4 linked regions of the Mytilus edulis genome follow. The protein of the gene in region 4 binds, or shares a complex with, the protein of the main gene of each other region. Links are inferred from orthologs where the notes say so. Each region holds a gene or a part of one and is shown on either strand. Other genes may lie near its edges.

Region 1 (7,541 bases), on a different chromosome or scaffold from region 4:
CAATTTGCAAATCTACAAGTACTTGAATACAATTGGTCTTTTAGCATTTCGACTGCCATTTTGATTTTTCCATAGACCATGTTACCAAAACTATTTTTATTTTGCATTTTGTCTTTTAGATATACATAAGTGTGTTGTACATGCATATGTATGTGATAAATATTTATGTTTTATATGTGCTTTGAGTGTTTCAAATGTGCTGTGTACTTTAGATGTGCATGATGAAAATGGCAATGCATGTTGTCTTATAGATGTGCTTCAAAAATTTTATTCTTGCTCTATACAATTGCTAAATTTGCTTTGTATGTGATACATCATCTTCGTTAGCCAAGGGTTATGATCCACTCCCTTTCTCTTCACCCTTGGTGGATTGAGATAAAATTTTGGAGACACAAGGTAAGGATTTTTATTGGTCATGTTGGTTGCAGTCGAAACTCGCTGCATCCAATCAAAAAGCACCTATAACATGATCACATGTAAATGAAGAAAGTGTTTGTAAACAAATGCCACGTGTTTATTGTGCAACAAGTCTTAACATTCTATAAACATACGACTATATTTAGTGACAACTTTAATGTTTTTGTTCAATTGGTAGAAGTTCCTGTGTATGTTTCATGCACAAATGCATGAATGTTGATGTATATTTTTGTTTCTGGCTTTATCAAGTGTGTAGAATCTAGACGCTACCATGTTTTTACCTCCAAATTGAAGAGTTCAAGTGCTACCATTAGTCAAGAATAATGTATTCGGAATGGGCGTGACTTTAATCTTCCGATAGATGGCGCAACATTGTTTTTACAAATGTTGGCTTAATCTGCCAAGTGCCAAGGGTGAAGAGAACATGGAGAAAGGGAGTGGATCGTAACCCTTAGCTAGCGAAGATGGTGATACATTGATATGTGTGAATTTAATATGCAATTTATGTGTTTTAAATGTGCATCATCCTCTGTAACATCAATAAATAAATAAATTATAAATATTACTGAATGATAAAAGCAGTGATATGTTTTTTTCCATCTGCTGGAACATTAATATATTTGTAAACCTAATGTTTTCTTTATTAAAAATTGCAGATAAGTCACATTGTCGACAATCATCAGAAACAGAAACATGATCAGATACATATATATAAACTCATCATAGATACATGTACCAGGACTAAATTTAGTATATATGCAGCTATACTTCATTTACTTACAGTTTCTTAAGAATTGTAAAAAAAATTAAAAAAGAACATACTAATGTAATGTTTATTGGTCGTTAAGGTTACAGTTGAGTAGAATCTTAGCTTAGAAATGCATGGTTTACGCTAGAAAAAGAGTTAGGCAGATTTAGATGTTTGGCGGGAAAATCAGTTGTCGGGTCGAAAGTTATAGGGGTGGTCGTAAGGGACTCTATGATTTCCTCTATGCTCCGTAAGGGTAACATTTAGAGAACACCCCTATCAAGTAAATAGTGGTATCGACCACAGGTATATAAGAGAGTGAGAAACAGCACTCGAGGCTGTCGGTTGGCTGTCGATGAGCTGTCATCCTTCAACTGAGCGTACTTCGGATATTTTAAGTGCTAGAAGGGCCTTGGTATTCAGAGTATACTTTGTACTGGGTACAAAGTGGAAGTACATGTTGACATAGCAGACTGTCCCACTGTCTGGTAGTGAAAGACTGTCCCACTCGGAGGACAACTTGTACCAGCCCGCACTGTCTGGTATTGACAGACTGTCCCACTCGGAGGACAGGCTGTACCAGCACACACTGTCTGATACAGACAGACTGTACCAGCCATACTGTCTTTTAGTGACACTGTGTCACATCGTCCCATCTTGAGGACAGGCTGTTTTATTGTATTATATTTGTATATATATATAATTGTCCGTTGTTACTTTATATCGGCAAAGAGTCCGTGTGTATATTTTAGTTCATTGTGCATAATATATAGATAGTTGTAGTTTTTAGTATTACCATATTGTTTGTGGACAATTGGATCCAAGTATTTACTGGAACGGACGTTTGAGATATAAACGCCTAGTTACACGTTACACTAACATTAGCATGATTAGTAATACACATATATTGATAAAAAATTAAACAATTAGTGAAGTAAGAATAAGTCTTCTTGTAGAATGTTAGGTCTTTTCTATACACGTCACGTATCTCCTTTCAGGTCAAGAATTTAGCATCAAATCTTTTTTTTTATTTCAAACATTTTATTTTTATATCATGTCATGCATGTGGATCTTTACCTTTAATAAAATTTGCAAAAACTTACTAGTCCGAATGAAATTTTACTAGTCTGGGGCATCAGACTAGTGGCTAACCGTGCAGACTGCAACACAAAAAAAACGTTGTCTCAATTTATTTTTGAGACAATGACAACAAATTGTACTTAAAGGAATACACTTGCCAAAACTTGAAACCATTAAGAATGTGCGCGAATGTGTAAGGTGCAGATGGACTTTTAGTGGTAACGTGTACGTAGGGTGTGGAAGTGAAATTTGCAAACAAGACTGGGCGCGAACGTGACTGGGCGCGAACAGACCTGGATTCCTCCTACACCCCCCCCCCTATATAGCCCCTGTGATTGTGCCACATTTATAGTATTAATAGTAATACGTGTTGCCATGCCTTATTAAAAATGTACCTCGGTCAACGCTTTTGAACCACATGGAATTTACAACAAGAAGCGTTCAATTTCATAATATCTGGTCTTGTTTATCATGTGATATACATGGACGTCTGAAAAACGTCAAAATAAAAAACCATACTTGTTTTGTTCAAAATGGCTGTCTGATCTCGAAATTAATTCATTTTCCTAACACAATGAGCACATATTAAAAATGTATGTTATACCATCAGATTCAGATGTTTTCCGTTTCCTAGTGGGCTGATTTTTCCTGCTTTTCTTAAAAAATACGCAGGATTTTTGTGATGATCCATCGTCCGACATTTTGGACTATTTTCCGACGCGTAAAAATAACGAACTCTGCGATTGGAATATAAATGAACGAAAACTTCAGTGTCCAATCAAATTACACGTTATAGATATTGCTTCTATTTTCCGCATAAACAACAACAAATACACGTGGTAAAAAAGGTAAAATTTGTATATTGAAAATCAAAGTATAAACAGGAGCAAATAGGGAGATATATTGTTCCAAGGCCTACTATATTTACCTTGGACAAATGCAAAAAGTTCCCAAAAATTCAAAACCTTGTAAAAGAATGTTTTAGTTTAGTTTAAACATGTATTTCATAGATTTATTTACAGGTGATAGAGAAGCAAGTTTTGCAACTTATATTAATCCTTTTCCACTTTTCCTGTGCGTGTGCTGCCTTGTACAAAATGTAGCAGCATTAGCCTGCTCTATTTCAAAATATGCAAGGGTGTCTTTAACTTGCAAGAGATGAACACGCCCGGTCAGCCATTTATCATCCCCTTTTGACAGACTATCCTCGTTTCCTCAAGACCATACTAGAAAATGATGCCAAGGGAGAGCCCTAAATAGATGTATTTACACTTGTATGCAAATTGTCCGCCATTACGTAAAATCACACAGGTTCCCGTAAACTTTGACATCATAATTCAAAATATTTGACGTCACAATTTAAAAGTGATTGTTGCTTGACGTCAGAAGGTGATTCGGAGTTGATCTAAGGTCATTCGGAGGCAAGATTCAGCTAAATACCAAAAGTGTAAATACGTTTATTCACAAGCGCTTGGGTATAGGATACAGATATTTTTTTGTTGTTGATTCAAATATTCAATTTTCTATATTTATAATACATATCTATCACTACTGTACATGTCTCATTTCTAATGACTTAAACGACTCAGAGAAAATACCTAATTTTACTATCTATACTAATTCAGTCCCTGAAATTTTCATCACGGAACAGGATTCAAACCAGGAACTTTTGTGTTAGCATGGTTAGTAGTCTGATGCACTATAACCACTACGGCAATGGCTCTCATCAAGAATGTTTTAAACATTGTTGTTTATATAAGCAGTAAACAGGTAAAGGAATTAAAATATCCCTAAATTTCCAAAGGCACTTGGGACAATACATTTTTTGCCGTCCCCCTTATTTACAAAATCGTTATTTTATTATAAAGTCTATTTAATAAAAACAAGAAATGAGAAACACTTATGAATTTCCACATCAATAACCACTGAACAACAGGAGTTAGTTTCACAAAAAAATTTACGACTAAGATGTATCCTAATTATACTGAATTGTTTACTACTTTCGATCAATCATAATCATAAGTTTTTTGTGTAACCGACTCCAGGTCCGGGACTTAGGACAGGTGCAAACAAATGCAGCACATTTGTAAAATATGTTTCAAACAGTTTTATGAGTTACATGTATATATTTTTCAGTTTCAAAAATGGATTTAGAAAATGTTTGTGTGGTTTTACCTGCCGGTGGATGTGGTGTAAGAATGGAAATGGACACACCTAAACAATATTGCAAAGTCCTAAACAGACCTCTTATACTCTACACAATACATAGTTTTCATAGGTAAATGTTTGTGCTATGTTAGAATGGAAATAAGTACACCAAAACAACACTGTAAATTACTAAACAGACCTCTATTACAATACACAGATTTCATAGATACAATGTATATGTAAAAATGGAAATGCATGGACATTCCAAATATTGTAAAAGATTTCTTATGTACTCAGATTTTCCCCAGCATGAATTTAGACAAACCGATGAATATTTGAATGGTTAATTAAAGTTAGGAATTTTGGCAAGCCATGAGGATTAGCATTGAAGAAGTTGAATATCTCCAAATTTTACCTTACAAACGCAAGCTATGAATTTGAAGCATTTTAAAATTCTTCAAGGTGAACATGCATACATGATCATAGGGGTGTAATCATACATTCATGGTCTCAAAAAAGTTTGTGGCCAATGGAAAGCCTTTTTTTTAAGAAGAAAACTAATGACAACGCTACACATGGCTACAGTTACATCCAATGATCTAAACCTTTCCATTTCTAGAATTTTTAATAAACTCTTAATCTAAAAAATTCTCTGTTTTCAATGAATTATGTGCTGTTTAAATTTCAGTCTTTTTTCCCAATTTTCAGACTAAGCTGGATAAAAATGATTGTCGTTGTGGTTGATGAGAGTTATCTGGAGTTCATGCAGAATTTACTAACAAAATATAAATTTACTAAAGTGAAGTTAGTTACTGGATCTCCAACAAGACACAGATCAATTTATAATGGTGTCAAAGCACTGGAAACAGGTACATTTTATGTTGCATAACTTGATTTTTTAAATGAATGTATGAATGAATCTGTTTTCTCCATGTTTATGAAGATTTTGCATACAAAAAAAAGCATTTAGAAAAAAAGTGCTTATTAACACAAAAAAACAAAATATCATACAATTTGAAATCAGTTGAGATATGTACACAATAACAGAGCACTTTATCATGTTTATGGGAAATATAAAAAAGAAGACAAATAGGAACAAGTTTTAATCAATCAACGTTTATTTAAAACTAAAAGTCACATAAGGGTCTTCAGTAACATTGAAAACTAGAGGCTCTAAAGAGCCTGTGTCGCTCACCTTGGTCTATGTGAATACTAAACAAAGGACACAGATGGATTCAAGACAAAATTGTGGTTTGGTGATGGTGATGTGTTTGTAGATATTACTTTACTGAACATTCTTGCTGCTTACAATTATCTCTATCTATAATGAACTTGACCCAGTAGTTACAGTGGAAAATGTTAGTAAAATTTTACAAATTTTGTGAAAATTGTTAAAAAAAAATGACTATATAAAGGGCAATAACTCCTTAGGGGTCAATTGACCATTTTGGTCATGTTGACTTCTTTTTAGGTCTTACTTTGCTGTACATTATTGCCGTTTACAGTTTATCTCTATCTATAATAATATTCAAGATAATAACCAAAAACAGCAAAATTTCCTTAAAATTACCATTTCAGGGGCAGCAACCCAACAACGGAATGTCCGATTCATCTGAAAATTTCAGGGCAGATAGATCTTGACGTGATGAACAATATTACCCCTGTTAGATTTGCTCTAAATGCTTTGGTTTTTGAGTTATAAGCCAAAAACTGCATTTTACCCCTATGTTCTATTTTTAGGCGTGGCGGCCATCTTGGTTAGTTGGCCGGGTCACCGGACACATTTTTTAAACTAGAAACCCCAATGATGATTGTGGCTAAGTCTGGATTAATTTGGCCCAGTAGTTTCAGAGGAGAAGATTTTTGTAAAAGATTACTAAGATTTACGAAAAATGGTTAAAAATTGACTATAAAGAGCAATAACTCCTAAATTGGTCAACTGACCATTTTGGTCATGTTGACTTTTTTGTAAATCTTACTTTGCTGAACATTATTGCTGTTTACAGTTTATCTCTATCTATAATAATATTCAAGATAATAACCAAAAACAGTAAAATTTCCTTAAAATTACCAATTCAGGGGCAGCAACCCAACAACAGGTTGTCCGATTCATCTGAAAATTTCAGGGCAGATAGATTTTGACCGGATTAACAATTTTATTCCATGTCAGATTTGCTCTAAATGCTTTGGTTTTTGAGTTATAAGCGAAAAACTGCATTTTACCCCCATGTTCTATTTTTAGCCATGGCGGCCATTTTGGTTGGTTGACCGGGTCACCAGACACATTTTTAAAACTAGATACCCCAATGATGATTGTGGCCATGTTTGGTTTAATTTGGCCCAGTAGTTTCAGAGGAGAAGATTTTTCTAAAAGATGACTAAGATTTACGAAAAATGGTTAAAAATTGACTATAAAGGCCAATAACTCCTAAAGTGGTCAACTGACCATTTTGATCATGTGGACTTATTTGTAGATCTTACTTTGTTGAACATTATTGCTGTTTACAGTTTATCTCTATCTATAATAATATTCAAGATAATAACCAAAAACAGCAAAATTTCCTTAAAATTACCATTTCAGGGGCAGCAACCCAACAACGAAATGTCCGATTCAACTGAAAATTTCAGGGCAGATAGATCTTGACCTGTTGAACAATATTACCCCATGTCAGATTTGCTCTAAATGCTTTGGTTTTTGAGTTATAAGCCAAAAACTGCATTTTACCCCTATGTTCTATTTTTAGCCATGGCGGCCATCTTGGTTGGTTGGCCGGGTCACCGGACACATTTTTTAAACTAGATACCCCAATGATGATTGTGGCCAAGTTTGGTTAAATTTGGCCCAGTAGTTTCAGAGGAGAAGATTTTTGTAAAAGTTAACGCAGGACGACGACGACGACGGACGCCGGACGCCAAGTGATGAGAAAAGCTCACTTGGCCCTTTGGGCCAGGTGAGCTAAAAAACGTTGTATCTCATCTTTATAAATATTACGTATAGAGAATTATTCAGTGTTAAAATCTTTTTAAGTAACCATGGTAACTGATACCATTGAGATTATATATGTTTGATGTCTCGTTGACCCTGATTTTGGTTCTTTATTTTTAGATATTCATCTCTAGTTCTGTATCTTTCAGTTTGTAAACCTGA
Region 2 (7,550 bases), on a different chromosome or scaffold from region 4:
TATTTAGTATTTTCATTATAGTCCGATCAGTTCATAATTTTTGTTTTTTCAACAAAGTTTCATCAAAGATGATTTTACCACAATTAGAACCTTTTATGGCCTACTCAGTGAGCAATATCCGGTTCATTAATAGTTCAATATTATATAATTAATATCAACTGGCTTAAAACAAAATGATGTTTTTACGGTAATTTGTCCAATCTAAATCAAACCCTAGAGTTAATTTATCGGACCAACAAGTGAACTCTGTTACTTTCAATTTATTTTGAAATGTAAAATATTATGTTCCACTACCTCGGTAGATTACCGACTTGAAATATTTGAATTTAAAAAAGAAACTGTAAAGTGACAAATAGTTTTGTATGCAATGTGGCAGCCCTATATTCATAAATACTGAGATAATTCCCCGCCCAGACACAACACAATAATCACAACCTTATTTAATTATATGAAGAAATAAAATCACGTGTTTTTTATCTGTTATGATCTGTTATTGATCTTTTATTATTTAAATAAAATTGGATTGGCTTAATCCGTATTTTACTCTTCGTTAAAAGTCCTCGACGAAATATAAAAAGAAGTATTTCAACAATTTATACTATAGAATATTAAAATAAAATTATATCGTTCAAGAAAGAAATATGTAAAAAAAATGTGGATCGGATTTTTACGATCGACACATTTTCACAGAGGATCTCTACCAACGCCCATCAGGAACTGAACGACATGCATCCTGTTTTCATCTACCATTAATGTATAGTGTTGACTATGGAAGTATAAATAATGTCCAGGTTTATGTCCTCTGTTGACTGAGAAACGTATAAATAAAAGGCTGATGTTCGTTTATTCAGAAAAGGAATAAAATTTAGAATATGGTTAATCAATTGTAAAAGGACCTTCTAGAGCCTCAATCTTAACGCACACAAATGTCAATCATTACAAAGCAAGTTTAAACCTTCAATGAATTTTCCCACGGTTATCCAGAAAGGTCACCTGAGTTTACTGTTACGTGATACTATTTCCCGCCAAATAAAAATCTCGTGGACAAAATTGATGTCACTATTTTTAGCATTCAATATTGTGAGCGAAGTCAAGTTCAAGTTCAACCACGCACTGTTGATCACTGAGATGCGTGTCGTCTTCCCACGGCAATTAATTGTTTTAAATTTAAAAATATTTAAAGATCACTGTTCTAAATACAACACAAAAGTTTACATTCATTGTGCGTAAATGAATATTATGCAACGACGAGTTGATGCAGCTATAGAAGTATTCCTGTTGTAGCCGAAATGTATTATATATATCCTAAAGTAATGATAATCGTGAAGAGAAAATGCCGTAGACTTATTAAGCATAACGAATGGTGAATAGTATTTTCTTTTTTACTTGCATATACAAGTTTTAAGACACGTAATTTTCTTTAAACTCATTGCTCACATTTTATACCTTCAGCGTTAGTTTCCGTTTATTTGCACGCAAGTATGTCGCTTTTCGTAAGTTATATCAATTACCGATAAATAAAAAACGAGGTCATAATCAAGTATAGAATTTTTTTATAAAACTTTAATGCAATTGAAAGCATTAACAACAACGTTTTGGATTTTAAAACTTTTATTTTGTAATCGTAAAATGGAAATGGTGTAGAATTATTAGCATAACATATAGTGAATAATATTTTCTTTTTTACTTGCAGTATAAAAAACTTTGAGACGTGTAATTTTTCTTTAAACTGCCCTCATTTATTCAGCGTTAGTCTCCGTTTATTGTTGCACAATTATATCTCTTTTAGTAAATTAAATATTTATTTACTGATAAAAAAACGGAAGTCAAAATCAAATATAGTTGTTTAAAAACTTTATTAAAATGTACAGTGTAATTAAAAGAATTAACAACAACGTTTTGCTTTTTATTTTAATCTTTCATTTGTTTCAAGCAATCAGATATAATCTGATAATCAATAGACAGAAAATACAATTGTTTAATTACATTAGAAATCTCACATACCTTGACTGTCACGTGCCGGCATAGATCAGACGGATTAGGGCAATTAATTACCTGGTGTCACACCGCGTCACACCAGACTGGGAGAGATGTCGCTAATACAATAAACAAAAGGTAGCGGATTTACGCGGAAGTCGGAGGGAATACTCCCAAATTTCTCCGAGAATTTTGGGAGGGATGTCGGAGTTTCCTGGTGTTACACCAGCAAAAATATCGGAGTATGGAGTTTGGGATTACAAACTCCTTGGGCGTACTGTATAACTAATCGCCGTATTTGAATATCAAAAATAAGATAACGCGTGACCGAACGACGCATGGATTAAACGAGTGCGCAGCACGAGTTTAATCCATAGTGGCGTTCGGTCACAAGTTGTCTTATTTTTGATATTCAAATACAGCAATTAGTTATTCTTTTTATTACATTGGCAAATGGCTTTTTTTTATGAAATTAATGTAGAAAATGTAAGGAACTATATCTTTTTCCTACGCATTGACAATTTCTTTTGATCCGACGTTATCGACGTCTTGACAACGCCTATTGTTGTATGACATCAGAGAGTGAAATAACCACGTTTATTTCACATGTGAAATTATCGGTTTTTATCTAACTGGGAAATCAATGTAATTCATTGCAACCAATGTAATAATATGTTGATATCAGAAAAAGTAACAATAACAAAAACGTTTTTGTTACTTTGGACACTAATTGCTGGAATGTTAGGTCGGGTTAGGATACCGATAATTATGAACATAGCGGTATTTTGGCCTGTGTTATGATAACAAAAAATGGTACAGTCTACAGAGCCAAGCGTATATGATACATTATTTTGCTGTGCTAGCCATTTAAACATTCGTTATTGACCGATGCAATGAAGGTGGGAAATAAGAAAACCTTGAGTAGATAATCCAAGCTCTGTTAATTTCTGTTTTAACTCAACAACTTTAAGTTTCTTTAATTCGTCAGTAGTAGGTACCGACGCCATGCTGGATCAAATAATAAAGTCCGAAGAGTACCGAGAATGAACAAAAGGGTAGAACAAATTACAACTATTGATTGAAAGACGGTCCTATACAAAAACATTTTGTTTATTACGGATCAGTACTAATATCCGGGTTTTGTAAAATTGCGCCAACAATTGTGAGGATTTGAGTTAAAACTTCATTTGAAGCAGACACTATGAAATCTTTTAACTTTAGGCAATTCAAAATTAAAACTAACAAAAAAAACGGCTAAACATTTTTTTTTCTTCCAAAGCTTATGTTTGTAATATTTCATGACCGGCTTTCATGCATGCAGTGGCGGGTCTACGGTGGAGGTGGGGGTTGGACGATCAATGCATTTGAATGGGGACATTAAGTTGAAACCCGCCCCTTTATCCTGGGTTGGGACCCCCCCCCCCCCCCATTTTTAAATGGCTGGATCCGCCCCTGCTGACATATGTTGCCAATAAATTTCAATATTTTTTTCTATTCTATTCTATCCAAATTTTAATATTAAAAAAGAGACATATGTTACTGACAATACACCTTATCGCTATTTGTCCGCCATTGCTGGATATCACACAGGTTCCCGTAATATTTTGACGTCATAAAACAAAATATCTGACACCACAATGGAAAAGTGATTGTTGTATGCGTCAAAAGTTCAAGCGGGCGGGTCAGCCGGGATTAGCGATAAGGTGTATCGTGACCGTAATATACTCTAATAAGATAGATGAGTAAACTTGGCCGGTTAGCCTTTTCGCCCTTCTTATTTTTTAGGGTGATAACGTGGCGAAGTTAGTACGTTGCGTAGTGGAAAACGCGAAGTTAAAAATGCGAACTTGATATATTTTTTTTCCGATTTCGCGGTTTCGACTTCAATTTTGCGTTTTCTACTACGTGTTTTCGCCATTTCGCATTTTCGATTTTTTGCCTTTTCGCGCTCTTGCGTTTTCGTAACGTACGCTTTCGGTAAATCAATGCAGTTTGATGATAAAAAAAAAAAAAAAAAAAAAAAAAAACAGTATCCTTTAAACATTAGACCGTTTGGGATATTTTTAGGGTTGAAAAGCGTGCGTGTATTGAACTATAATATCTATGGAAAAAGCATTGCATATTATCGTTCCTTTTGTTGACTAGTAAATTAACATGTTTTGTACTACATGTGTAGTATACCTTCACTATGATCTAAAATAGTGTTAAACAAATCACAAAAACACACATACATAATTTAGGCAATTCAAAATCAAAATTAAGAAAAAATGACTGTAAGTTTTTTTTTCCTTCAAAATTTAAATACCACAAACAGATTTTCAGAATGCAATATATTGTTTCAAGATCTTTTTATTTGAGTATGTATACATGTCTGCTATGGTTTAATACTTTACTTTTGTAATATTTTATGTCAGTGATATTTTATCAAATACTTCTATCTATCAATGTTACTGAAAGCAAGCACAACCGATATAGTTTAATATTTAAACAGTCAGTCAGTCATAAAAATATAAACATAAATGTTATATCAAGGTATATACTAGTAAACCGGATTTTTTTCTGTAACAACTCAGACAAATGCCTTAGAGAGTTTCATATTTTAAAACTGTCAAAATCTGTAGTTTATCATGATTTACTGCTCCATTTCAATCATTTTAAACCATTCCGGATGCGGGAATTTCTCGCTGTATTGAAGACCTATTGGTGATCTTCTGTTGTTGTCTGTTCTATGGTCGGGTTGTTGTCTCTTTGACACATTCCCCATTTACATTCTCAATTTTATTTGATTCAGCTTCTCGATTAAATAGTCATGGGGAAAATGTAAGGGGAAAATACTAAACATGGTCGTCGAGATATTTATCAGCCTGACGTCAGTGACCGCTCAGGGGCGGATCCAGCCATTTTAAAAAGGGGTCCCAACCCAGGACAAAGGGGGTCCAACTATATGTCCTCTTCAAATGGTTTGATCGTCCAAAAAAGGGGGGTTCCAATCCCAGTTACCCCCCATCCCCTGGATCCGCCACTGGACCCAATCTAGTAATTCATCGAGCAGTGAGACAGGATCCCAGTATAGATATTAATATTAAGGCATTATATTTTAGTAGTGATAGTATAGTCAGAGACATATAGTACATATGCCTTGTATATCTTGGATATATAGTGTTACTATTATGTCCCAAAACTGCATGACTATATGATAATTATATACGCCTGGCTGGTTTTATCAACATAAACTTCATATCATTGATAAAAACAAGAAACCAGAAATAATGAGGGACCTAAAATTGACTCGCTCTGAGGTACATTTTCGATCTGACATATCAGCTGTTTTCTAATGGTGAAATAGGAGTTAAGGAGATCAACTTGTTTTTAGAAGAAACAATTTGATATATAATATTCACATGAACGGAATTATGAATATGAGTTTTTCTTGTACTTGTATTGCATATACCGACTCGAACTTGATAAAGCTTTATATGTCTTTATATGTCTTTGACTTATGTTTAAAGATGTTGGGACAATGAGGAATAAAGGCAATCTCCTAAGAAAGGTCGTACGAGTACTATAGAAAATCTAATTTTGGCAATAAGGAAAAGAAATCTTCAGACCCAGTATTTTAATAGCACAAATTAAAGAACACACATTGAGGATCTAGGAACTGTTGTCTGTTATTCAAACAATTCTTAAATGTGGTAACACTGACAATTTTAAAACTTATACAAAATCCAGTTCTTTCCTGTTACCAAAGTGAATCAATTTTAAAAAGTTTCTAATGGGAATAAGGAAAAATTTTAGGACACTATTTGTGTTTTACTAGTTATTCCTGCAATAGTTTATCAAATGCCAATTATTGATTTTAGCATTTGCAATGGTATATAGTAGATTAAATTTTTGATTCATCAGTAAAATTGTCTTGAACATCCTTCCTGTTACTGATTATGATTATGATGTTACTTTTTATCAGGTAACATGACAGAACGTAACAGAAAGGAATTGCGCAGTACTTTTTGTTCATTTACTCGAATTGTGTAGAAGTTTACTTCCACCTACATATCAATTTGATAAGATACTATGAAACACATGTACTGTTATAGTGCTGAAACTGAAATATTCTCAGAAGGTACACAAAAAGAATGTAACAGCTTAGATCAACAAAATTATTTTCCCACAAATTCTGATCTTTAAGGAGTTCAGATTTTTCAAACTGGCTGCTATACACCTAAACATATGAAGTCATACATTCAGGAAATGATTCTCTTCACATTGCATTACAAGAAATAAATTTTTGGTCTTTCGAACGTGTCCACAGCTTAAAAAAAACCAGCGGTAACAGGAGGGAAATTACCCCTGGGGACAACATTTAAAAGACCTTTAAAAATGCAAAATTTTCTTACATGCTTCAGTTATAACAAAATCAGACCAGTAATGGAGAAGTTCTATACATAATCTATCACTCACGGATTTGGGAAAATCAGAAGGCTGCCAAGTTTACTTAATTTAGATTATTCTTTGAGTGATTTAATTTTCAGAAAATAACAGGGGACATGATTTTTTTTTTTGGGAGGGACCATTTAAATCATAATATTTTATTAGAAGAAAAATTAAAAAGAATGTTTAATTGGGTGCAGTTGGTGCATTATATATACCCTATAGTCAGTATAGTGACTAAAACTTGAAAATTTCCAAAAAGATGCCTGAAAAAAAAATGCTTGTGAAAGATCGGGACATGGTAATTAGACTTTTTCAGATATTGTCTCATATATTCTTTATGTATATGAATGTTGCCTGTTGTAAATAAATACCCCCTCCCCCTTATTTAATAAAATATAAATCCGGATATTTTTTCCCATTCCGGTATTGTAACTATGACTTAATTTTTGAGAAATCTAAGGGAAACAACTCTATAGTTATTTCGGGATTCTCTAGAGTTATCCAATAAAAATGGCTGCACGGGGTGCAAGGAAAGTTGCTAAAGGGGCAAAGAGAGGTGTAGAGAAAATTATCCATCCCCCGTTTTTGAAGACAAATATAAACTCCTGTCAAGCTGCTCCAGCTCCACCTCTTGGACCAAATCTTGGACAGGTAACATACATAACGAACACATAAATTTATCACGAACAACTTACTAACACTAGTAACAGTAACAAATTATCACCATTCCGTCTACTGGTGTATTGAAATACATATTTCTATCTGTAATATATAAACAATAAGAAAAATTTCTTTTCTTTTTTTTAGGGGCATGTCATATGCTTTTCTATGGGGAAATATACAATCTGATACAACCAGAGGTCACTCTTTGACATTATCAATACAATACACGTTATCGCTATTTGTCCGCCATTACTGAATATCACACAGGTTCCCGTAAAATTTTGACGTCACAAAACAAAATATCTGACGCCACAATGGAAAGTGTCAAAAGTTCAAGCGGCCGGGTCAACCAGGATTAGCGATAAGGTGTATTGGAATGTCCTAGACCTAGTGTACATTTATGTCAGTTTGGTATGGTCAATACATTTGGTAAAGTTATCTCTCCTTAACCAGTTTTTGGGTTATGTGTATATATGGAT
Region 3 (6,849 bases), on a different chromosome or scaffold from region 4:
GGAAAAATGCAATCACAAAACAATTCGAAATCTACGTTTTGTATTACGAAATTTCAAAGATTGAAACGATTTTTATTATTTTCAAAAAAGGTCGTTTATTTGTGCAACTCTCCCAAAAATTACTTTCTTTCTCTTCCGGTAATACGAGAGCGAGAATTTTGGTTTAGAGCTAAAATAAGTTTTATACTTCTTTAAAAAGTTATCATAATTGGCTTCAGTTTATGTTTAATCCATTTTATGCATTAAAAGCGTCTTATTCATTCACAATCTCTTGTCAAACAATGTTTATTCTCGGACTCATTTTCGTAAATTTTACTACGGCCGCCATTGCACATTTTTGTGTAAACTACGGATCGGAACCGGACCAGATATGACAAAAATCTGCATTTTCACGATAATGACAACAGATGGACAGTAGACAGAAAAAAAAACCAAGAGAGAAAACTACGCATTACCAGACTATTTGTTAGATAACTTTGTTAAAAATACATATGAATTTGATGTAAAGATAAGAAACAACTGGGACTAATTCATTGAGTGGCATGAAACAATGAATTTCATAAACATGATAAAAAAAGTTTTTAAATTGATTTTTTTGCTTCTTTTGCTACTTTATCTTTACTTGATATAATATAAAAAGCAGTTAATTTTGTATACTAGATAATTTAGTTTTGTATATATACAGGTTGCACTATAATGAACAATTCATTCATTTGACTTATTGTTGGGTAACTGAAACCACATATTTATTTTTATTTGGCACAAGAGGAAAAAAATAATTCTGTAACTATAAATGAACAAAGAAGACATAAACTGAAACAACTGTTTTTGTGGTTATAGTTTAATTGTATTCTCAGTTATGAATTGAACAATATAAACTAAAAAGTAAAGGAAATAGAGCATCAACACGACGCGACAAACGACATTAAAAAAAATACAGTTATTTTTTTTAACGCAAAATGTGATGCTATCCAAAATTTCTGGGGAGAACACTAGTTTAACTAAGAAAAACTCACCCAATAAACGTATTTACACTTTTGGTATTTAGCTGTATCTTGCCTCCGATTGACCTTAGATCGACTCCGAATCACCTTTTGACGTCAAGCAACAATCACTTTTAAATTGTGACGTCAAATATTCTAAATTATGACGTCAAATATTCTAAATTATGACGTCAAATATTTTAAATTATGATGTCAAAGTTTACGGGAACCTGTGTTAATTTATGTAATACACCTTATCGCTATTTGTCCGCCATTGCTGGATATCACACAGGTTCCCGTAAAATTTTGACGTCATAATACAAAATGTCTGAGGCCACAATGAAAAAGTGATTGTTGTATGCGTCAAAAGTTCAAGCCTCCGGGTCAGCCGGGATTAGCGATAAGGTGTATGGCGGACAAATTTGCATACAAGTGTAAATACGTCTATTTTATATAAGTAAAATACGGAAAAACAAGATTTATATTTCACAAATTTACTTCTGCTCTGGATCACAGGTATTTGGGGCATGGACCCCCCTTTTTTGGACCTCACTAAAAAAAAAATTGTTTGGTTTTTTTTTATTTATTTTCAATTTTCTACAATGTATGAACATATATCAAGTCTCAACAATCCATTGCTAGTCGATTGCAATAACTTTTTTACTATCCATACGATCCCCAAGTGAAAAAAGAAGAAGGTAATTACCTTCGATGACTGACCTACTTTCACTTTGGAGGATCAGGTCAGGAAATCGATAAAAATTTCATATAAAACCTCACTTACTTTTCATAAAAAGTACATCCATAGATTCCTGAGATATTTTTCTCGACGTTTAAATAGGTCACATGGTGATCTGCGGAGGTTTTGTGTCTTGTTTTACTGATTTTGTTCTACATTTGTCGTCCGTTTGAACCTCGATGCACGGAAGTGAAAATACAGCGCCATCTGCGTGGTCTTTCGCTATGTTTTTATAACTCCGTTTGACTAAACTGCTTTCCTGTTTTTGGTTACCAGTTTTACAGATGGGTTCCGAATGCAATGTAGCTATAAGAAAAGGTAAGAGATATTCGAAAAAAGTATTTTTGCCGGTCTTTTAAAAATTCAAAAAAACAGTTAACAGGAAAGCAGTTTAGTCAAAAGGAGTTATAGAAACATAGCGAAAGACCACGCAGATGGCGCTGTATTTTCACTTCCGTGCATCGAGGTTCAAACGGACGACAAATGTAGAACAAAATCAGTAAAACAAGACACAAAACCTCCGCAGATCACCATGTGACCTATTTAAACGTCGAGAAAAATATCTCAGGAATCTAAGGATGTACTTTTTATGAAAAGTAAGTGAGTTTTTATATGAAATTTTTATCGATTTCCTGACCTGATCCTCCAAAGTGAAAGTAGGTCAGTCATCGAAGGTAATTACCTTCTTCTTTTTTCACTTGGGGATCGTATGGATAGTAAAAAAGTTATTGCAATCGACTAGCAATGGATTGTTGAGACTTGATATATGTTCATACATTGTAGAAAATTGAAAATACATAAAAAAAACACCAAACAATTTTTTTTTAGTGAGGTCCAAAAAGGGGGGTCCATGCCCCAAATACCTGTGCTCTGGATGCTATCTTGTGATCATAAACAAGCATCTGTCCAAGTTTGGTAGAAAAATAATTAATCCAGGATGGTTGAAGAAAGTTATTAAAATTTATGGTTCATCCCGAAGTTGGTTGTCATTTCTAAAAAAAAATGCAATCAGTCAGTAACGTTTATCATAAGACATAATTTGTCTGGGCCATTTATCAAATTAACTTACAGCCTTGTACTCATATTGAAGCGATCTGGCCGCTGCATCAGCCATATTCCCTCCGGTTGATCCTTATTTAAATAATTTAGCGTTTGTTTTCTATTCCATGCGGCTACGTTTGTATTTCGTTTCGCTTTTGTTCAAGACGCTAGATGGCAGTACACTTCCGGTTTAAAGTTCCGGATAGTTTTTTCTTTTTTGTTCTGTATAACTCAACTGTTATATCCCTCCATCAAACTGTTTTATTCTGAAAAGAACAGTGAATCCTTCAATAAAATTATTTCTCATTTTTTTTCCTCTCCAAAGAAAGTCAATATGAACGATAAAAAGCTCTTCTATGTTTTTTTTCCGTGTTTGATTTAAAATTAGAATATCGTGCCGGTCTCACTAATTAGCGACAACAAGCGTCAACAAGCGACAAGAAGCGACAACAAGAATTATTTTAGCGACAACAAGCGACAAGAAACTATTTAGCGACAAGAAAACATTTTTTTTTAATTAAAATAAATTATTGCAATAAATATTAAAAGAATATGCAAAAGAAAATAATTTTAGCGACAAGAAAGTTAAAATTGATAGAAAAAAATGAAACATTATTTACATAATATTTTATCATCTATTATGAATAACAGCCAGTATTACGTTTAATTATTGTATTATGAGATTACTTTTCCCAAGGATTTGTATAGTACTATACAAATCCTTGCTTTTCCATTGTTCCATTGTAAAGAACATGTTATTTATCTTATAATTTGTTTTTTAAAACAATGAATTATACTGTTAGAATCAAAATATTATATTCCATTATGCCCGCTCCATATATATCGCCATTCGTTTATTCATACTTTGACTTTGATGAAAAAAGATACTTACATTATCTCATGGTGGGGGGGGGGGGGGGGGGGGGTAACTTCGATATTTTTTTGGTAGGGGTGTGCCATTTTTGTCTCAAAAAACGTACCCATTTTAATATAACATTCACTGAAATTCAGTACCTATAGTTATATAAATATTTAAGAAAGAATGACATATACTTATATACAATATTTAAAATATGACCCATGCTTATATAAGCACTAACTCATCATCACTCATAATTCATAAATATACCAGCTACCCTTAAGTTTTTATATATGAATTGAAATCGTTTGGTGCACATATCAATAGCATATTTATATATGATATGTAGATCATACCCCAAATCAATATACAATTATCAAACGTAAATGCATTTTAATATAGGATGTCATTAAAAAGGAGGGTCATTTTTATATAAAATCTCGCAAAATTATGACCCATATTTTTGGCACATCCCCGTATACCCAATAATAGGAAGTTACCCCCCCCCCCCCCCCCCCCCGTGCATTATCTTATACATAATTTTTTTATTCTTCATATTTAAAAATAAAAAAAAGAAGCTCAATCTCTTTCTTCTTCACAAATGTTAAATTTCTTCATCTAACAATATAATAAAACATTTTAATTGAGACATATCTGCTCGTATATTTAAAAAAAACTATTAAATACAAATTTCTTTATATCTAATAAAAAAAAATGTTTTCTTGTCGCTAAATAGTCTTCTTGTCGCTTGTTGTCGCTAAAATAATTCTTGTTGTCGCTTCTTGTCGCTTGTTGTCGCTTGTTGACGCTTGTTGTCGCTTTTTGACGCTTGTTGTCACTAATTAGTGAGACCCTATCGTGCTTAAAATCATTCAAACGTTTTATAAAACTGATGTCTACATTTATTTTAAAGCTCAAATCTAACACCGACAAATCGAGAAAAAGAAAGTACAATAATTTGCAGGTATGCTATTTCAGGGACAGTCATTGGCATTATATTGCAAGTCACATAGTCCAAACTATTGATTCAAAATTATTGAAAATGATTAGTACAATTAAACAGATATATGGTATTTTGATGCCAAAAACAATTCAATAACTGAATAAACTTTGGGTTACAATGTCAATATAAGTTTGTATTTTCCTTCTTCTTCTTCTTCCAGGTAAGGAACCGAATTCAAATCTTGAATGTATGAGGTCCCTCAAAAACTAATGCAATGTCGGACAACACAGAAAGTTTTCTCTTGGCTATTTACAGGATAAAACGTTCTCTATATATATACAATTAAAACTATGTACAGGATGTTACTGTCTAAATTTTAGCAGAGCATGCCTTCAGGGCAGCTCTGAATCCATCAACTGTGTCAGCTGATGTTGCGGATGTTGGCAGTTGGTTCCAGTCTCTAATGGTCCTTGGAAAAAATGATTGTCCGAAGGCGTCTGTTGTGGCCCTTTCTTGGAAGAAGCTGTTTTTACCTCTGGTCCGGCTATCGTTTGTCGTTAGATATCGCTCTTTGTCTGCCATAATTACTGGAAATCACTCAGGTTCCCTTAAAATTTTGACATCATAATACAAAATATCTGACACAACAATGGAAAGTGACTGTTGTATGACGTCAATAGTTCAAGCGGTACAGATTCTCTGGTCAGCTGGGAATAGCGATAAGGTGTATTGACCAGACAATTTCCTGGGTATTACAAGAACTAATTAATATCCAAAGGACAAATTGATTTACCATCGAAAATATGGTATTATAGTTCTTAAAATAATATCAAAGTATATACATGATATAATTTTAAGTTTTTAAAATTTTTTTTAAAGTTTTTAATTTTAAGTTCACAGACTTAGACAGATAAGAGCTACTAAGGAAGTATACAACAACTCCTTCTTCCCACGCTCTATAAGAGACTGAAACCTTCTGCCAGACACAGTAGCAGCTGCACCAACACTCGAGGAGTTCAGGGCCAGATTAGCCAGTGTGCCCTGGACCCAGATGCAGCCTAACTAGACATCAGCCTGCCAAATTGTACAGTGTATATATAGTTTTAATTATTTGTTAATATTTACTTTTAATCAATGGAGAAGCCTCCTGTTTTACCGAGCGGAGTTAGTAAATCACTCAAATATGAGGTCAACTCCTTAACGGAAGAAGAAGAAGAAGTTATTAGTCGTGTTTACTCAATAAAGTGCAATTTAACTTCAGTGAATTGATAAGCATGTCTTGTAAGTTATATGCAAATTACTTGTTGAAAACAATATGGCAGACGTAATTATCCAAAAGGTAGACAACTTAAAAAATTTGCATACCAATTGCAAGGGTTCAAATTAGCGGTGGTCTGAGGTCCGTGACATTCCACTTTTGCAATCAGACCTTCGTTTTGGTTACTACCTACGACCTACGGACCTTGGACCTGAAGGAAAATAAAAATAATCTTTGCCAACCTTTTTAACCAAAATTTCCAAACGATCTCAAAATTTATTTTCATCTTTATTATTTATGACAGCAATGTTCATTTTGTTCAACCACTAGGGTTATACTGAAATTTAACCAGCAGTAATGTGTAAAACCGACCAAAATCATATCTGACTGACAAAAACAACATTGAAAAACAATGGATGCCATAAAACCGGAAATGCAAAAAATTACAATACTTTATCAAGTTCCTGGATGGATAAGGGTAATTCCAGGTTTGCCGATCAAAATGATACTTCCAGGCAGGGGATGAAATACATCTATGATGATGAAATATAAACATTAGAATTGAAAACTAAAAGATTTAGTTCTGAACATGCTAAATGAAAGAAAAAGCAGAAAATATTTTATGCAGAAACTCAAAACTACTTTTAGTTCACGAATGCTCATGTCAAAATCCAAAAAACATGTGACAGTAATTTTCTTTATCATTAGTACATGTAAATGTTCATATTCCATGCAGATTTTTTATAGTGTAAAATATTACTACAATTCCAAGAGGTAATAAATTTCTTGTAAATTTGAAGGGCCAGTAAAAATCTAGAAGTTTCTTACTGTTTACAGATGTATAATAGCGTAACTTGATATAATACACTTAAACAACTTTGAATTTGAAATGACTGTTTGATATAAAAGTTTAACTAGTATTTAATTACCCATGGTTGAGACAACACCCACCCACAGTGACACCCTCCCAAATACCTAAAAAGAAAGATTATTTGAATTTATAAAATACAAGCTGAGATAATTACA
Region 4 (7,026 bases):
AAAAACAATTAAAAAATAAAAAATTTAAATAACATTAAAGACAAAAAAATTATAATAAATTAACAGAGTAAAACAATATTTTATTCTACATTTTCAAAAAAAGGTGAAATGTCAATTTTAATAAAAACCCAAGTCACCTGTACAGGTAAATTTTAATGAAACATACCAGCTGAAAACTTCAACCCTGATTGATTTTAACAGGTAACATAATTAGATAAAAAATCTGCCCATGATTTATGACCCCCAATAAATGGCCAACATCTCAAGATTGAATACCCCAATAAATGTTCACCATTGGATGTTGACCATGCAAGAGGGTGGACATAACTAAGAGGAAGTCACAGGCTGTACTGTAGCTCTAGCAGACTAGATAAGGAACGATCTGTAAGTTCTGCTGATGACACAAGAGCTATAAAGTCCTGTTATTGAAAAAGGAGAGTTTCAGGGTCCATGTCAAATGTATTTGCCAGAGCTTCTTTCTCTGTATAACCATACATAGTTTCACTGTTGTCTGTTCAATTCAACAAGCATCTCCGTATATTTCATGTTGAGCGTATCTAATAAAATCAATAAGTTTGTCAAACCGGATTTCAATCACAGGCACTTGTTTCTATTCATATTGGAATACCCCCTATCAATGTATATTTACGGAAATATACGTTGATAGGGGGTCTTCCAATGGATAAAAACAAGTGCCTGTGATTTCAATAAGAAAATTGATACAAAAATCGGACTTTCGAGAGCTCCGCAATCGGCACAATAAAATAAAATTATTTCAATTTTGTTAGTTTATTATCAATTCAACAAGCATCTCCGTTTACTTCATGTTGAGCGTATTTAATAATATCAATATTAAAGTTAGTCAAAACGGATTTCAATTTAAGACAAAATGATATAAAATTCTGACTTTTGGGTGCTCCGTAATCGACTGAATTTACAATAGAAGAACAATTGTGATATTTGATAGAAACCTTTCTTCTGCTCGATTTTTCATAAAGGTAAAGAATTAAATTATTTTTTACTCTTGATGGTCATTATTCTTGAAAAAAGATGTAATAGACTGGCAGCCAAGTCTTTGATATTTTCTTCTTGTCATTTCCGAGTTGGTCAATTTTTCTTTTTTTCGTCGGCATTTTGCGTGTTGACCTATTGGAATGATTCTTTTTAAATGAACGTTATTTTATAAATAACAAATACATTAGAAATGAACACCGTTCACATTTATTTTATAAATTCTATTTTGCATCGTCAGGTGTTAAAATAATCAATTCATTTAACTTCGATGTTTGGTGCTTCAGGGCAAAGGGATTAGACAGGGTCGTAAATTTCACCTGATTAAGTAATTGACTCCAATCAAATAGGTGATTATATACAGGTAACAAGTGTCAACAATTTTAATCTGTTGTCTTAATGAAGTGTGTGTGCATAAAGAACTCAAGAAAATGGCGACGATATGAGGAAAAAAGATCGTTTTTTAAACTTTTTTCAAAAGGGCACAATGGGGCGCAGGGGCGCTTAAAAAAGGCAGAGGGGCGCAAAATTTCGGGGGCGGGGCGCCCCTCCATTTCATGCTACATTTGTAGCTGGAACACTGAATGATGGTATCGGGATCGTTCGCCCTGATTACATGTTCGCCCTAGGTTCGTTCGCACTGAGTTTGTTCGCCCTGGTAATCCGTTCGCCCTGGGTTCGTTCGCCCTATTTTCATTTATGATATGTATATGTTACATTAATGAAAGAAATATATATTTATATATATTAAAATTTATGTATATCTATAAACAGTTAAATACAGCATATTAATTAAATAAAATTCTTGGCTGCATTGTTACACTTTATTTTATAATTACTTTTAATTACTGTTGATTGAATTTTATTGCTGATTAGGTACATGTATGATTTGAAATCTTTGGTATCACTGATTGGTATATGAATTGCCTTTGATGGATTGATAATGAAAATAACATTTTCTCAAATAAAATAGTCGGCTTGGATGGGTAAAAACACTGATGTACAAATTGTTAGGCATGAACTTATAGCCTAGTAGCAGCTAGCTGTAGACAACATAATACATCGTAAATATTCGGCGAAATTGTAGACCGACTTCAACATATTTAATTAAATACACACAACACAACACTATACTAAAAATAAAAATCGTAAATATTCGGCGAAATTGTAGACTGACTTCAACATATTCAATTAAATACACACAACACAACACTATAATAAAAAATAAAAATCAGGGCGAACATACCCAGGGCGAACAGGTATCAGGGCGAACGGTCTCAGGGCGAAACGGAACTAGGGCGAACTGTAATTAGGGCGAACCGAAATCAGGGCGGACGGACCCGGATTCCTGAATGATGAAACCATACAAACAGATGATTTTATGAAATAAAAGTATGTTATGATTTTGTTCACACAATATTATCTAATTATTGGTTTTATCAGTTGAATGAAGTGGTCATAAGTCTTAGATGTGCGGATACACTGAGGTAGGCCGGATCGATGTGTTGCCGGATTGTCATGGAAGCAAAACAGGGAATACCCCACTTTTCCTGACCTGTGTTCATGGTGTCTAACCTGTTCAAATAATAATTTATAGAGACTTGGTGATCTCTAACAGGTCAATTGCTGCATATCATGGAAATATATATTAAGGAATGTCTATGTTTCTTCATATTGCATATTCCTTAATAGGTTATTAAATATGGAAAAACAATTTTCAGGATCATATGGTCAACACCAAATAATTTACATTACTCAGTAGGGTTCACCGTTGACTGTGTCTATACAAATAAAAGATTTTAAGCTGATTACTTTCTCCGGACTAGAGGAACGATGTCGTTGTTTCTTATGCTTCTTTTTCGCTTTTGTCTCATCATCTTTGGCCATAACTTTAGCTAATATCGTCGTTTGAAATACGATGAAAGAAAAATAAACAGGAAGTTACGTACGACGACAGCGACACCTGTTCAAGTTTTCTAAAAATAGAAACAGGTATCGACTAAGACACGTAGATAATCCGCATTATCAATTTAGGTATCAGTGATTTAGCCTGTGACTATTATAAAGTGGTCCATTTACTTAAGGACCTGTCATTTTCTTTCCTTTATTTGGGCAGGGGTACTAGAAGTCGATTTTGAAATTTCTCTTAAATTTTCAAGTTCTAATTTGAAAACGGGAAAAATCCACAAACACCCACAAGCAAAAAAAAAAAACATCCCCCAAAAAATGTATGACAAAAAGCACTAAGGTAGTTTACCATGAATGGGGCTTAGTTAACGTACAGCGGTAACTATTACATGGAGATTCAAGCGGATTTGTATGTGCTTTATCCGATCCGCAACCTCCGACACTAAAGGCGAGCCGGCACAATTTCATCATTTGCGACACCATTGATACAGTAACCGCCAATTCAAAATCCCTATCTGTTAACCAAGTTTTTCGATTTTCATAGTTTTCTGCCGAATATTTCAACTTAAGTTTAACTTCATAGAAACCAGGTACATGTATCCTGAATTGTACACTGTATCACCTTTCTACATATGCCAGTTTTCATCCCATGTTTCAAGTCTTTCAAGAAAAAATTGCATATCGGAAGATAAGCACTACTAAAAGTATTAACACCTGTTTTTTTCTGGAAATATTACATTAGTATACTATTGAGCTCATTAATCCTTAACTTAAATGCAAACTCATTGACAAGTAAATTTTGGATGAAATGGTCTAAATATATTTTTCTCTCACCAAAATAATCGTTTCTGCAGATTTGATGGTTAGTTTAAGGAAATAAAAAACACTACTTTTTGTCAGAGCATGGTCTTTTACATACGTTCTAAATTGTATGTCGTACATTGGTGGTCTGACTCCTAAAGCCGGGCAGCATATATCCATCAATCATTTTACTATTATTATTCAAATAAAAGCACATTACGTTCAGTGGCGAATACCTCTTTTCTCAGTCCACGTGTACATGGGCCAATATGCCATTTTATTCGAAATCCAATTCATATTAAAAAAAAAACTACAAAGATAATTCCAAAACGGTATTATCAGTTGCATTCTGTTTTAAACAAGGTTAATTTCGTTTTCAGTAAGAACTAGGGTATTACCTTTTAAAAAAAAGTTATCTGTAATGGATCGAGCTGGACACTTTCTGAATGCCCTCTAGGTTTTCATGTAGCGCGTTGTGGTATTTTGTGACAAAACAAACAATCATCTGAAAATAATCGTACAATTGTGAATTGCACCAGGCAGGATGTACATTAAAATAAAGCATATGAACAGTATAGGTCATAGTACAGTACCATCTGTTCATGCTTTTTTTTTTAGTTTGAAGACACGAATCACATATTTCGTGAATATAATTAACTTAGTACACCCACGAAAGAATACACGAGAAGCCCTGTGTTCACAAGGTTTAATTGGCCAGGTTACATTCTCATTTAGAACACACACAAAAATAAACAGTCAAACAGTGATGGATATACGGAGTAATATAATATATATTTAAGACCTTTCTCCTACCTTATAAAAAAGAAGATGTGGTATGATTGCCATTAGTCGAATCGCAAGTATAACTCCATGATAACAATGTTTTCATGATGACTTAATTTTATTGAAAATGATTTGTTTTGTGGTTTATTCAATCAAGGACAACAACTGATCGAATTATCGACACTAACTAAAGACAGGTACAGGCGTTTCTACCTCAGGAATAGATTACCTAAGCTGTATTTGGCCAAACTGTTAGATTTTTTTTGGTCCACAATGCTCTTCAACTTCGTACTTTATTTGGCTTTTTTAACATTTTTAGATTCGAGCGTCACTGATGAGTCTTTTGTAGACGAAACGCGCGTCTTGCGTAAATATAAAATTTCGACCCTAGTATCTATGAATAGTTTATTTACATCCACTGCGTCGATGCCACTGCTTGTGGAGTTTTAATTCCCCGAGGGTATCACCAGCCCAGTAGTCAAACTTCTGTGTTGACTTGAGTTATGATAATCATTGATATGTTCATAATTATAAATTAACTTAAAATTTCAATACTGGTATCTATGATGAGTTTATTTATTAGAATATGATGGAGTTAAACATGTTTCTATGCGATAAATCCTTCTTTAACACGAGACTGTTGTGAAACAGTACACCATCAGAACAAGCTGTAAAAACAGCTGAAACGGGCCTTACTTGTTAAATTATCAAGGCGAATGTCACTAACAACGTCAAAACATTGTGAGTTGTTGATAAATTGACCAAATATCAGAGGACTAGTATATTCTGTATTTGGTACAGAGTACTGCATACATTTTCAATAACAATGCCACTAACTTCACGTTTTTATTTCATCTAATTTGGGGAAAAACCGATGGAAGTCTTGATACATTTTTTTATGTACCATATAAATCATTCAAAACATACGATAACAAAAAGCAACTCATTTAAAACCTACCAAAACTTAAAACAAGACACTTAAAATCAAAATATCAATGTGATAAACAAACAAAAAATGATACGAAGACAGTACAATACCACCAAAAACAACACATAAAATTGATGTAAAAATTAGAGAATATGAAAACAAAAATCTAGAATATTTATTGTTTTGTTTCCATGGAAACCACATACAAATATAAATATTCCTCAAAAAATGGATTCTTGTCATCAATATAGATATTCAATCCTTGAGTACTCAAATATACAATATTGAGGTGGAACACATTTACAACATTCCAATTTTCCAAAGAAAACAATTAATCAGAATTTTGTTTGAATTTCCGTATTTTTCTGATTATGTATTATCGTACGCAAATACATGCCAAATATGAACATGTTCGAAACCAGTTGAAATATCATCATAACGTTTGTATTCCTAGTAAGCACATTAATAGTATTGACAAAGGGTTGAAAAAAAAATGAAAATATGTATAAAAAAAGTAAAATCACATAATACTGAACTCCAAGGAAAATTCGGAAAGTCCCTATAATCAAATGGCAAAATCAAACGATAAAACACATCAATGAATGGACAACAACTGTCATAATCCTGACTTGGTACAGGCATTTGCAAATGTAGAAAATGGTGGATTGAACCTGGTTTTATAGCGCTTAACCTTTCACTTGTTTGACAGTCGCATCACATTTAATTTACAACGATGCGAGAACAAAACATACACAATATGTAAAAGAGTCAAAACATGGATACAGCAGTCATCACTGTGTCACAATCTCAAAACAAATAAATATTTAACAAAAGAGCACAAAAACATCTTTCAAATTTAAAAAAACACACACATTAATGCCGTTCAATGTTTTAAAAAACAATATATGCATAATTCCACTCCCATCTGGACCTATTTTCTTAGTCACGGTCACATACTTATAGGCATATGTTCCAAACAAACTGCATTAGTTATTATCTAAAACAGTATTCACACATTCCTATTAAGACAAAAATAAAAATACATGTGTCAATATATATAAGATAAATGTAAACAGTTTTCAAGGTGTACAGTCTGTTCCCAGAGAAAACAATTTTCCAACAAATACTAAGTCAGGCGTTTCATCTGCTATGTAGTTCTGAAAACAAGGATACAAATTGAATTTTGTAGCCTAGAATTCCTAGCTTTTTTGTTTCCCTTTGTATCTTCGATAAGCTGAACGTGTTCAACCAAATACTAAGTAAGGCGTTTCATCTGCTATGTAGTTCTGAAAACAAGGATACTTATTGTATCTTGTCACCTAGAATTCCTAGCTTTGATTGGTTCCCATTGATTTTTTGATAGGCTGGACGTCTTCAACGACTTCACGTAAAATATCAGACAGCGAGGAATCACGTTGATTGGCACCTCCTTTTTGTAATTGTATAATCAGTTCGAGTTGTTCTCTGTAAAAGTTCAATCAGAGTTTTCAATTATTCCATTTGATTATTATGCGATTTTTTTTAAATGCAACTATAGATGACGTCATGCAAAATTGGACCAAGTTTCTTGATCAAATATTTTTTAACTATCAAAC

The links.
Region 1: smad nuclear-interacting protein 1-like (region 4) and E3 ubiquitin-protein ligase RNF113A-like share a complex: the UniProt entries of both Homo sapiens proteins name them as parts of the minor spliceosome. The link is inferred for Mytilus edulis from reciprocal best matches to the Homo sapiens genes SNIP1 and RNF113A.
Region 2: smad nuclear-interacting protein 1-like (region 4) and splicing factor 3B subunit 2-like share a complex: the UniProt entries of both Homo sapiens proteins name them as parts of the minor spliceosome. The link is inferred for Mytilus edulis from reciprocal best matches to the Homo sapiens genes SNIP1 and SF3B2.
Region 3: smad nuclear-interacting protein 1-like (region 4) and U5 small nuclear ribonucleoprotein 200 kDa helicase-like share a complex: the UniProt entries of both Homo sapiens proteins name them as parts of the minor spliceosome. The link is inferred for Mytilus edulis from reciprocal best matches to the Homo sapiens genes SNIP1 and SNRNP200.

The regions. Positions count from the first base shown.
Region 1 is NC_092345.1:33,822,899-33,830,439, reverse strand, and holds the start of E3 ubiquitin-protein ligase RNF113A-like, read right to left. Parts: upstream 3,002-7,541; 5' UTR 2,947-3,001; coding exon 2,850-2,946; intron 1-2,849. Other genes in the region: D-ribitol-5-phosphate cytidylyltransferase-like, read left to right, coding at 4,390-4,523, 5,102-5,262, 7,529-7,541. UniProt on the Homo sapiens protein: Required for pre-mRNA splicing as component of the spliceosome. As a component of the minor spliceosome, involved in the splicing of U12-type introns in pre-mRNAs. E3 ubiquitin-protein ligase that catalyzes the transfer of ubiquitin onto target proteins.
Region 2 is NC_092346.1:9,790,103-9,797,652, reverse strand, and holds the start of splicing factor 3B subunit 2-like, read right to left. Parts: upstream 3,020-7,550; 5' UTR 2,985-3,019; coding exon 2,894-2,984; intron 1-2,893. Other genes in the region: large ribosomal subunit protein uL11m-like, read left to right, coding at 6,919-7,059. UniProt on the Homo sapiens protein: Component of the 17S U2 SnRNP complex of the spliceosome, a large ribonucleoprotein complex that removes introns from transcribed pre-mRNAs.
Region 3 is NC_092347.1:15,196,506-15,203,354, forward strand, and holds the start of U5 small nuclear ribonucleoprotein 200 kDa helicase-like, read right to left. Parts: upstream 3,030-6,849; 5' UTR 2,837-3,029; coding exon 2,792-2,836; intron 1-2,791. UniProt on the Homo sapiens protein: Catalyzes the ATP-dependent unwinding of U4/U6 RNA duplices, an essential step in the assembly of a catalytically active spliceosome. Plays a role in pre-mRNA splicing as a core component of precatalytic, catalytic and postcatalytic spliceosomal complexes.
Region 4 is NC_092353.1:19,625,981-19,633,006, forward strand, and holds the start of smad nuclear-interacting protein 1-like, read right to left. Parts: upstream 3,002-7,026; 5' UTR 2,899-3,001; coding exon 2,824-2,898; intron 1-2,823. UniProt on the Homo sapiens protein: Required for pre-mRNA splicing as component of the spliceosome. As a component of the minor spliceosome, involved in the splicing of U12-type introns in pre-mRNAs. Down-regulates NF-kappa-B signaling by competing with RELA for CREBBP/EP300 binding.